Oryza sativa Japonica Group: one gene and its partners. The main gene of each other region encodes a partner of the protein of the gene in region 2 in a complex. Links are inferred from orthologs where the notes say so. Each region holds a gene or a part of one and is shown on either strand. Other genes may lie near its edges. The genes, in order: condensin complex subunit 2, condensin-1 complex subunit CAP-D2 and structural maintenance of chromosomes protein 4.

Region 1 (4,222 bases), on a different chromosome or scaffold from region 2:
TCTGTTGTGCACTTGTACTTGAATTTCTCCTTTGACGGGAGTGGGCTCCATCACACGACGGTGTCGAGCGGCTCTCCCAACTCCATCATGTTAGAAAATGATAGACACATAAACCATAAAAAACAATAAATCAATCATAAAGACATAAGATTTAACATGGAAAACCCTTCTAAAGTAGGAGAGAAAAAACCACGGTATCCCAAACCTCCGGCGACGGGCCTCCGCTTCGCTCCATTTAAAGCTGGCCTTTATTCGTGTGCAAATGAATTTGGATTACAATTCAACACTTCCATCCCATTAACTCAATATTTGAAACTTTTTACTCGGATTGGAAAACTTTCAAATCAAGATTTTAAAACTTTTAACTCGGATTTAAAAACTTTTGACTCAAGATTTATTTAATCTTTGAGTTAATGTTTTTAAAATTCGAGTTGAGAGTTTCGAAATTTGAGATGTAAGTTTTGCAGTTTGAGTTCAAATTTTAAGCTGAAAGTTTCAAATAGAAGTTTTTAAATTTGAGATAAAAGATCTAAATTGTAAAATACATTAAAAAACAGAAAAAGGAAAAACATGCGCTGGAGATTAAAAAAATCATGAAAAAAGGAAAACGCACCGGAAAGTTGGGGAGCGTGCAAAAACAGCAATAAAAAAGGAAAAATGCGCAGGGTAGGAGCACCTGCTGGCACGTACACGCTAGATAGCAATCCTCTCTCCTCATTTAGCCAAATCGCAAGCATAAACATAACTTATAAAAATCAACATTGGCTTCATGTACATAGAACCACCACCATCACGAGATAACGTTGCCAAAAATATTGATACAGATTAATGCAGCAAAAAATACTTATATTTCAGATATGAAGCTAGAGTTTTGGAGTTTTAAAAAAGTAACTGCACCCTTTGTATTTTGTGGAGTAGATTCACCCATGTTACTTTTAAAAAAATGTGGATATTTGGTTCGGTTCCTACTTCATCGGATAAACATGCCCTCATGTGGTAGATGCGGCAGGAGTAAAAAAAGAAGAAGTAAAAGAAAAAACTAGAAAATGCAGAAAAACAAGAGCAGATTATTATGAATCTTGACGAAAGCAAGGGAAAATCTAAAAAAAAAAATCATGAAATGATGAGCATACATATACTGAATTTTGTCACGACCACATGTCCTTATCTGACCAGTGGGCCCACGTGGCATAGAGAGAGAGAGAGAGAGATGCACTTCTTTCCGCCCGTTAGACAGATTCCCCCCATCGTTCCAACTCCCTCAAACCCCTTCCCATTCCGGCGGCTCTCCCCGAAAATTTGAAATCGCCGCCTAAAACCCCCCCAAAAACCAAACCGACTCAAAAAAAAAAAAAATCCCCCAAATCGACATTCCTCTCCGCGGATCGATCGGCCGCGAAGATGCCAGCCGCCGACCCCGCCACCGCGCTGGCGCCGGCGCCGACCCCGCCGCCGGCGCGCGGGACGGCGGCGGGGCCGCGGCTGCTGCTGCTGCAGTCGCCGCCGCCCGCCTTCCCGCTCGGCTCCAACGACGACCAGCTCGAGCGCGCCCGGGCCCGCGCCGCCGCCCGCGCGGCCTCCGTCCGCCGCCGCTCCCTCGCCGCGTCCCTCGCCCCCAGGGCGGCGGCGCAGCAGCAGCACGACCTCCTCAACCGCGACCAGGTCATGGACCTCTTCCACAACTGCATCAAGCTCGCCTCCGAGAACGTACGCGCCTTCTGTACCTTACCCCCCCTCGTCGTTGTTCTTCCCCACCGCCGCGCCGAAACCCTAGGGCCACTCGCGCGCGCCTCGTATTGAGTTCGCCTTCTTTGTGTTTTTGTTTTTTCCCCCTCTTTTCCGATGGGGAATTTGAGCAGAAAATTAACCAGAAGAACACGTGGGAGCTGGGGCTCATCGACCACCTCAGCGAGATCATCCAGGCCGGGGAGGAGGACGACGACGAGACCAATTTCCAGAAGGTGCGGCTGTGCTGATTTCTTCCATTTTCGACCTTCTTTCTACTACTACCGTGGGAGGAGATTTGTGACCTCTTCTGACTTCGATTGAGAAATTTTTTTTTAACCATTTTCTTGTGACCAGGCTAGCTGCACGCTCGAGGCGGGCGTGAAGATTTACTCTTTGCGTGTAGATTCAGTGCACTCTGAGGCGTACAAGGTGCTTGGAGGCATCAACCGTGCTGGAAGAGGCGATGAGGCTGGTAAATACCCACTAGAGTTTCATAGCGCTTTCCAATTTTTACTGTAGCCATTCGATTGTAATTCGATTTTATTCATGTGAGTCAGCTTCGAGTTGCAAAAGTATTATTAGTATTCTGGGCACCACTAAACTGTTTCAGTTAAATTCAAACTAAGTCAACTTACATGATAGAAATTTGGCTTTGTACCAAAAAAAATGTCCATCTATAAATTGATCGAACAATAAATAGAAAGATGTTTTAAGATTTTTTTTAAGAAATCAAGTCCCTGTGAGAAATGGCCTTTTCTGACTTTTGGTTCATTGGAGCACTCTTCAGTTTTCACGATCATGCTACTACTGTATCTCAAAACCTTAGATGATAAATGATGCACGAGGATTAGTTGAATTGCATTTGATCATTTGTTTTATTTGTTAGGCCGTGTTTAGTTTCCCCCCTATTCCCAACTTTCCATCACATCATATCACATCAAAAACTTTCCTACACACATAAACTTCTAACTTTTTTTCCAAACTCCCAACTTTCTTCAAACTTCCAACTTTTTTCAGGAACTAAAGACACCCTTAAGGTAAAAGTTAGGCAGTAATTCTGCAAATTATCATAAATACACCTTTGTTGTGCCTATAGCTTTCCCTTGGTAAATGCATGCTGCTTCATTATGATGTCCTGATTTGGTGTTTTATTTTACTTAAGATTCAGAAGAAGGTAGCAATCCAAAGCATTCACAAGAAGGTACAAACAAAAAGGATGCAGATAGGAGGGTATGCCTATCTGAATTGGTTACTGTTCGTTTTTCCACTTAAGTTCTGCTTGGTTTTTTTTCTAATAGCCTAGTGCTGTTTCATATGTGCAGATATCACCCACATCAACTTTGGAGTCCTCATTTGATTCGCTTAATGTAAAGAAGTTTGATGGTAAGCTCCAAGCAGATCTTTTAAAAACTTTTTTGCTTTGTGCTTCTGTCGGGATTACTATCATAGGACCAAAAGTTTAAAATTGTAGAGTATAATATTAATTTATTGCACTTTCTGCTAGTTGCCTTCACGGTTGATCCTTTGTACCATCAAACTACCGCGCAATTTGATGAGGGTGGGGCAAAGGGTCTCTTGTCATATAACCTCGGAGTATATGACAGTTGCCGTGTGCTCTTTGATTCGTTTGAAGCACCTGACAAGTGCATCTTAAGTGATATGCAAACTGAGATGGCTGAGTTGATTGGTCTTTCATTTGCTAAAGGTATGATTGTCAATCTGTTTCTATTCTGCTGTCTATGCTCTGCATTTTTTTATTTCCATTTAAGGTTTTGTAATGGTCTACTCTTAAACAGAGCAAATCGAGCAGATGATAATTCATATGCCCCTCTGCAATGATATTTCTCCTACCTTGAGCAATATAGTTTATCAGTTTGATGATGAAAACCGAAGACCACCTCATGAAGCAATTTCTAGGCAAATTCCAGTGATGGAAGATCAGGTGGTTGACGGTAATGATGTGGCGAATGATGACATCACACAAAATGATATGCAAAATGATTGTGGAACTTGGGATTTTGGAGGTTGTGATGATCAAGAGAGCGTGTATGATGAACACTGTGACCCAATGGATCATAGCTCCATGAACGGTCAAGAGGTACTTCCTGCAAACAGTAAAACCTAGACACATTTTGTGTGTGGTTAGAGCATGCATTTTTTGGGGGTTGACAGCTTTTGTTCTTTTCTTCTTTTTATTTCCCAATGTTTCCAATTACTGGAGTTTTCTGCGCAGTTTAAAAATCTATGAGAATTGACATTAAATGAATGTGAGAAAACATTGATTAATCATGGTATCAATTAATATTTTTTTAAGATAAAAGTCAAATTGAGTAACTTTGTAGGATGCAATTTGATGCCTATTACTTATCCATTCATTCACCATCCAATGACATTTCTTTGATTGAAATGTCTGAAGTACTCAGTTCAAATTATGGTTTATTTGTTTGTTTTCTGAAGTATAAATATCTGAGGGTATATTTTTTTGCAGGAAACT
Region 2 (3,096 bases):
TCAAGAATTGCATAATGCTGCAGAACGTTTCATCCTTGAGTTGTTGATTGCACAATCTACCCAGGATATCCGGAAGAAGATTATAAATTGGATTGCTTCCTAAAAAGATCAAAAAGAAAAAGAACTAAACGTCAGATAAGTCAAACATGTATATTCAAGTTACGCAATTTATTTGACCGACACATTTGCTGGACATGCCTTTCTTTGATAACTCATGAAAGAAGAGTTTTGCAAGGCTTGAGATCCTCTCGTCTTCATCTTCTATCCTTACGGCCATTTCATTAATAAAGCCTTTAACCTATAAATATTTTGCAAAGATGTTTAAATATAAAACTGAGAGGGGCATGGTGTTCGAACAAACACACACACACACACACACGAGAGAGAGAGAGAGAGAGAGAGAGAGACCTTCATCATATCATTCAATATAAGATGTGAAATGACAAGCACAGTGTTCTTCCTCACAGATGCCGAAGGATCACGTAAGCGTGCATATATGTGCTCTGTCCAAGGTTCTAAGAGGTTTGGAAAGCGAACCACTAAATCACCAAGAGCTATAGTGCAGTTTGATCGGACAACTTCAGAAGGCGCGCTCTCAGCAGCAGTAAATAGGATCTGAAGATTTGCTTCACTGAAAGTTGAGCATTTGATGGAATATAAATATCTGGAGCACATCATATTGAAAAGGTGAAACAGCTGGAATATAAATATATACTTACCAGAATTCTGCATCAATAATCATTAGCTTGCAAAGAGCAAGCATTGCAGAGGCCTGTAACCCTGGAAACTGCATTAACAAAAAAGTAAGGAACAAAAAACAGAGAGTAGTAGAGTCAAAACATTAAGAAAATAAAGGAAGCTCAATACAAATTAGGACCTTTTGAAGCAAAGCCAGGTTCCTGCAGAGTTTTGCGAGAAATGGTGCACAGTATCCAATAAGATTCTTTTCAGAATTGGACACAATCTCCCTTTCTGCCTTTTCAGCGAGGGACTCTATTGCAATATCTACAGATGCACCAATTCCCAACTCAGCATTTATACCTTGTGCCTGCCAGCATCACACAGTAAAAGAGAAGTGCAATACACACTCAGACGAAAGAATGGTAACCCAAAATCGATTAGGCCACAAAGCAAACTAAGAAATAAAATACCTCCGAATTTTTGGAGGCATCTGCCTGAAGATCCTCGGCAGTAGGCTCTGATTTGTCATTCTTCCGTTTCTGTTTCTGAATTTTCTTAACAGAAGTCTCAATGTAAACCAAATGATTCAGTGCTATATGACTAATAATGAAAAGAAATCTGCCCAGATTTGTGGCTGGTGTCGATGACAGCATGGAACCATTCTGAGTTTCATTTTCATTTGACATGCAATCAGTTCCTAAGACACCGAATACAGAATTAAGTGATTTCTTTACAATCTGAGCAGCGAAGATTTCAGGTGCTGGGTGTAAAGCGTAGATGGCACTTATAGCTTTATCTGCGGCTCCATACCATATTTTCTCAGGAAGTGAGAGGCTAGTTATCAGGCCTTGCAATGCAGCGAATACCCTACTACCAGTACTAATTAATTTGACTTTGTCTTCATTGGATAATCTTTGCAGGGCAATGCATGCAGTTCTAGCAAGCAGAGGCTCCTCCTTAGCCCAGCGTCCAAACCCAATATCAATAATATCTTGCAAATGAGTACCCAAAATGCTGGGAGATGACTTTGCTGCCATGCAAAGAATCGATAAAGCTCCACGGCTTTGCACTGGTTTCACACCATTGATGTGAAAGCAAAAATAATCCCACAGGGCTGTTATCTGCAAAAGACAATGGGATTTAACAAGTGTGAACTTCCCCAACAAAAGATAATAGGTGTCACTGAAGTTAGATAAATAACATTCGACAAAATGGTATAAGTTATGTTATAGGCAATATAAATTATTTTGATGAGCAGCTAACAAAAGATACTTCAAGATGAACAGAAAAAAGTTCCCACTGTAGGATCTAGATAAGGGAAGTTCACATCAGAAAGTGGAGAAACTGGGAGCAATATTCTTTGCATGCATCTTAAGTTCTTAATTTATGCATATTCAGCAATTAATGCACTCACTTAATTGCAAGTTAGTACTACCTTGCATTCTCAATCTATGTGCAGAATCACTTTTGGTGCACAGGAGATTGGTGTGCTAGAATAAATGAGTACTCCCCTACATTCCAAAATATAATGAGCAACTATCTCTTACGCAAAAACCAAGAAAAAATTATTATCACCTTCTAATTTGGATCATCCCAATAAATAAAATGCATGCACCCAATGGGATTAGAGATCAGAGATCTTGAGGGTAGAGGCTTTAAAAATAGAACTTAGAGGAGGGGGAGGTGCTAGTCAATAGCATGCACGCATGCATGCGAACCTCGTATTATGCAACATTAGGGGAAAAAATCGTTGTGCCCTATATTTTGGAATGGGGGGAGTACTTAGCATTACTGTAACTAAACTGTAAAAAATAGCATTTGAAAGGTTGCTATGAGCAAACTTTGAAGGGAAACAAGAGTGCACCGTGTTGGATGAAATTTCTCCTTTTGATACCAATGAACTAACTAAGCTTTCAAGGGCAGCAAGGTCACCAATGCTGCATTCAATGGTAAGGTTTAATAAACTTTTGGCTGTTTCCGTGGGACTTTTCTTTGTGTATATAGTGATGAATGCACTCTCCACAGCTTCATATATTGACTTATCCTGAGAAAATACCTGCAAAATTTATGAAGATAAGGAAGTGACGAAGTGTACATTCTAACTCATATTCACAAACAACCTACACTTCCAGGGAGGCATTACCAGAGGTAACATTTTCCGGAGGGCTTCTTCCGAACCTTCAATCTGAAATTGTCTGCATCTCATTAATAGAAGAATTGTGTTCTCAACATCAGTGGCTGAAGACGATGCCAACAACTGGACAAGAGTTGGCATTAATGAAGTTATACATGCCGAGAATCTCAGACCAGCCTCAAGTGATGCAACTAAAGCTCTAATCTGTTCCAAGTTTGTTATATCCACAATTGTGGGATCTTGATCCTTTGGGTCTTGACTAGAAGGTAAACAGCTATCAC
Region 3 (4,324 bases), on a different chromosome or scaffold from region 2:
AATCCATCCTGATGGCTGGGTGATTGTGAGATAAATGATTCAGATCATCCAAAGTTCCAAACAGTGTTGGTGTTTACACTTTTGATATTGTAGGACCATTCTATGTATTACTAGCTTGTAAAGACGTTATTAAAGCCATTCTATGTATTATCTGTCTGCCTGGGCCGAACAGCCCATGCGCATCTCAACCAAAAAGAGAAGGAAAAAGTTCACTTGGTCACTCATCTTACCGTTAGGTTTCAAAATCGCCCATAAACTGGAATACCAATTATAATGTATCCCTAATATTTTAAAACCGGGTTACAATGGGTCTCATTGTCTCAAGACAATATTTAGAGCGGTTTGCTGACGTGGCGACTGAGTCAGTGTTGAACCCACATGTCATAAAAAAAATAATCACCGTCCCTCTCTTCCCTCCGCTCCTAATGTGATTCCATCACCGCAGTGCCCACGTCCGGGCCAGCCTCCGCCTCCGTGCCCACTGCCACAGCACTTGTCTCTACCTCCGCACCCACTATCTCTCATCTCGATGTCGCTCTAGTTCTGCGACGACGATGACTCGGGCGACGTCGACCTTGAGCCACTTTCCTGCTGCAATGTCACACCCCAAGCCGGAAGAGCCATTTGAGGTAGGGCTGCTGTCTCCAGCTACAATGGTGCTTCCCTGGTAGTGAGGTGGGATAACTTCTCTGAAGTCTTGCATACCTGGGCTCGGGTGAGGCCGCAGGTGTCGACGAGGTACTCCTTGACGGCGAATGGTTTGAGTGAGACGCGCGCAGTGGTGAGGGGAGACGATGGAGGGAGAAGGGCCGAAAAATTTCGACGAGAGGGAGAGGGGACACCCACCGTAGTAGTAGAGAAAGGATGTGTCTCCAGAGGTGAATTGTGGTGGCAGCGGTGCAAGGATCATAGCCGCGTGAAATCACAAGGCGTTGTGGTGTCAGTGGTAGGGAGCTCGCCGACGCATCAAGCCACCTCCGCACTGAGCTCCTTGCAGCCCCGTCAACTCACCGCACCTCTCCTGTTCGGCCATCGCCCACCACCAACCTCATGGAGGCTAGGAGAGAGATGTGAAAAGAGGCGGAGAGAGGTAGAAGAAGATTGGGCCACTGGCATGTGGGTTCCGTGCTGACTCAGCCGCCACATCAACTAAAATCATTATCAATACTGGCTTGGGACTTAATATGCCTCAGTTTTATAATATTAGGGATGTGCTATATCTGGTTTTCCAATTCATGGACAATTTCAAAACTCGATGACAAGAAGAGGAACCTGAAGTGAACTTTCTCCGAAGCAGAAGGCCGACCAGAAATCAGCCCAACATGAGCCCCATATAAGTTCGCACACGAAAGCAGCGCATCGCTCGTAATCCAGCCCAACTCCAGAGTCTTCCTTTTGGTCTGACACATTTGCTCGAAGCGGGAGGAAGAAAATCCTCTCGCCGTTTCAGTTTTCCCTCCCAAATTTTCGCCCAAAATTCCCAAATCCCACATTCCCCTCTCGGCCGCTTCGACTTTTCCCCAAAATCCCCCCACCGCCACCGCCTCCGCCTCCACCGCCGACGGCCCGAGATCTGCGCGCCTCCACCGCCGCGGCCTTCGTCGGGCCCGGAGCACCCGCGCCGCCCGGTCGCCGTCGCTCGGAGTTGCGCGCGCGCGGTCGCCGTCGTCCCGAGTTGCGCACCGCTTGGTCGCCTTTGTCCTCGAGCCGCCCCCCTTCAGCCGGTGCCGCCCTTGCTGGGCGAGTGATCTTCCGGCGGGCGGGCGGCGGCGGCGGCGGCTCTCGCGGTCCGGTCCTCCCTTGCTGCTGCGGTCAGGCATGGAGAGTTCCCCGCCGAGGTCACCCGCGCCCTCGCCAGGGAGGGCGGGGAGGCCGCGGCTGTTCATAAAGGAGATGGTCCTCCGCAACTTCAAGTCGTACGCAGGGGAGCAGCGCATCGGCCCTTTCCACAAGGTCTCGTTCTCTCTCTCACTCGCAAGCACACGACACGAGCGCGCAAGCTAGCTACAGTATATCTTAATTCGTCGCGCTCATAGTCATAGATGACGTATTCCCCCACTACCAATCCCCGGTTTTCGTTTGTTTTTGGCGCTATTCAGGACCCTCCAGCTGCAATGTCATGTGGTGGGCTTGCTTTTTTTACTTGACCTGTACGATCGTTGAACCCTAGGCACGGCAGTTGGATATAGCAATTTAACTTCAATTGTGATAGCGTAGGAGGTGACCACGTATACTTTCATTTGAGTTTTCCATTTCCCAGTGCCTACAGAATCCTAAATAAGTTAAAAACCGTGTTATAGCATTTTTAGGAATTCGTGTTATCTTCAGTGTGGCCGTTCTGCCTGGCCTCTAGTTTATGAAGTGAAATACCGATACGCGCATTGTTACTAGGTTCTGAACCTATGTGACGTTTTGTTTATTAGGTTCTGAATTTGTTGGTCTAGTTTTGGTCTCACGAATGTTAGATTAGAGTGGAGGTTTTTGAGTTGTGCACTGGTTTTACATTTGTTCTGAAACTTTAGAGTGGCATGGTCATACTCCATCAGTAGTATGTTTTGGGTTCACTTTGTTTTGTTTGGAGATATTTTATTATGAAGAGTAAGTCACATGGTTTAATGGCATTTGTTCTACCCAGAAATGGAGGTTCCTTATTCAGTTCTATGGCTTCTATCTGAATTTGCCCTTTCATACGTTGAAATTTCAGACCTAACTCTTTTATCCTCAGAATGTCGTTTCTGCAGTTTAACTTTCACTTGTTCTGTAGTACCTAAGATATAAGGAAAGCAACGTTTATCATAATTTTAAATTTTACTGATTTTCAAGTGCATCAATTTAAGTGGCCAAATGACTATGATTTGTGAGTAGTAACACATCTTACATTCCAGAAATGCCGTCTAACTTTATAATCGTGTTTTTATGGTGACCTGTGCAGAATTCACAATTCTTGTGTGTGTAACCATCGTGTTCTGTGCAGAATATCATTATAAACTGTTTATAGGTACTATCGATGAGTGCACTATGCTTCAAGCTCTTATGAACATAGGTCTACCACTCTGTCGCTAGGATCCATGCATCGTATAAAAGAATAACCGCTTTTTCTTGCTTTCAGAGTTTCTCAGCTGTTGTTGGGCCAAATGGCAGCGGGAAAAGCAATGTCATTGATGCGATGCTGTTTGTGTTTGGGAAGCGTGCAAAACAGGTGGGCAATATTGCTTCCTAACTGTAAATGTTTATTGATGTTCAACATTTTTCTGGTCAGCTCAGTGGCAGATTTAAGCTAATCATTGATTTATTCTATCTCAAAAAGTCATTGTATTTTTTTATCCATTCAGCGAGTGCTAGATGCCAAAGTTGGCATGTAAGTGTAAGTTATTCCCAATGTTTTTAAAGGCTGGGCAACAAACTGCTACTTTATGTTTGTTAGTGTGTTACTGATTTTGTATGCAAGGCGAAAAGTAAGCTTCAAAGTCTCTGCCCAAAGGTTTTTGAGAATTTAGTGTAATGGTACTTTCATGATAGTAAACTAGTTATTGAAGAGAAATGTATTTAATACTTGAATACAATGGGGCCCTTGTATTTCCTGTTTACTATTGCCCATTTCCTCCAAAGGTTTTTCCTTAAAAGTTTTGGATTAAATGCTATAAAATTCACGAATAACTTAAGCTCTTGAGAGATGATCTTGCTATTTGTTAGCTACTCCATATTTTCTTAATTCAGAACAACCTATTTAGGTTGTTTCAAATCATAGACTGTTTCTGACCAGTTTTCCATCATTGTAGATGCGCCTGAACAAGGTCTCAGAACTCATACACAATTCTTCTAACCACCAGAATCTAGACAGTGCTGGGGTCTCCGTCCATTTTCAAGAAATCATTGATTTGGTATTTCTTGAGCCAAGTATTTAGCATTTCATATTGCTTAGCTAGTGCCACATAATTTATTTCCCTCCCTCTATGTCCATCATAGGATGATGGGAACTACAGGGCTGTTGAGGGCAGTGATTTTATCATCACAAGAGTTGCTTTCCGTGACAACACTTCTAAATACTACATAAACGACCGTGGAAGCAATTTCACTGAAGTAACTAAACTGTTGAAGGGCAAAGGAGTTGACCTTGATAATAATCGCTTTTTGATCCTTCAGGTTTGTGTTTCTTTTTCCATTTACACATGAAAAATGCGCGTGTTTTGTAAGTTTAATTTTGGACATATGTTGCATATTATTTAGTATGTTTACATGACTATGAGGGATATAACAGACATCCATATGGTGTTATATTTTATGGTTTTGCACTGCATAACTTCCAAGTTGGGCACTTTCAGGG

Evidence for each region.
Region 1: condensin-1 complex subunit CAP-D2 (region 2) and condensin complex subunit 2 share a complex: the UniProt entries of both Arabidopsis thaliana proteins name them as parts of the condensin complex. The link is inferred for Oryza sativa Japonica Group from reciprocal best matches to the Arabidopsis thaliana genes AT3G57060 and EMB2795.
Region 3: condensin-1 complex subunit CAP-D2 (region 2) and structural maintenance of chromosomes protein 4 share a complex: the UniProt entries of both Arabidopsis thaliana proteins name them as parts of the condensin complex. The link is inferred for Oryza sativa Japonica Group from reciprocal best matches to the Arabidopsis thaliana genes AT3G57060 and SMC3.

What each region holds. Positions count from the first base shown.
Region 1 is NC_089035.1:19,816,833-19,821,054, forward strand, and holds the start of condensin complex subunit 2, read left to right. Parts: upstream 1-1,355; 5' UTR 1,356-1,401; coding exon 1,402-1,707; intron 1,708-1,859; coding exon 1,860-1,961; intron 1,962-2,082; coding exon 2,083-2,200; intron 2,201-2,890; coding exon 2,891-2,958; intron 2,959-3,050; coding exon 3,051-3,111; intron 3,112-3,232; coding exon 3,233-3,433; intron 3,434-3,524; coding exon 3,525-3,826; intron 3,827-4,216; coding exon 4,217-4,222. UniProt on the Arabidopsis thaliana protein: Regulatory subunit of the condensin complex, a complex required for conversion of interphase chromatin into mitotic-like condense chromosomes.
Region 2 is NC_089041.1:28,021,124-28,024,219, forward strand, and holds part of condensin-1 complex subunit CAP-D2, read right to left. Parts: coding exon 2,825-3,096; intron 2,738-2,824; coding exon 2,546-2,737; intron 1,803-2,545; coding exon 1,152-1,802; intron 1,049-1,151; coding exon 878-1,048; intron 788-877; coding exon 720-787; intron 632-719; coding exon 409-631; intron 299-408; coding exon 195-298; intron 100-194; coding exon of another isoform or gene 96-99; coding exon 1-95. UniProt on the Arabidopsis thaliana protein: Essential protein. Regulatory subunit of the condensin complex, a complex required for conversion of interphase chromatin into mitotic-like condense chromosomes.
Region 3 is NC_089039.1:24,530,168-24,534,491, forward strand, and holds the start of structural maintenance of chromosomes protein 4, read left to right. Parts: upstream 1-1,482; 5' UTR 1,483-1,818; coding exon 1,819-1,953; intron 1,954-3,109; coding exon 3,110-3,199; intron 3,200-3,779; coding exon 3,780-3,881; intron 3,882-3,966; coding exon 3,967-4,143; intron 4,144-4,322; coding exon 4,323-4,324. UniProt on the Arabidopsis thaliana protein: Central component of the condensin complex, a complex required for conversion of interphase chromatin into mitotic-like condense chromosomes.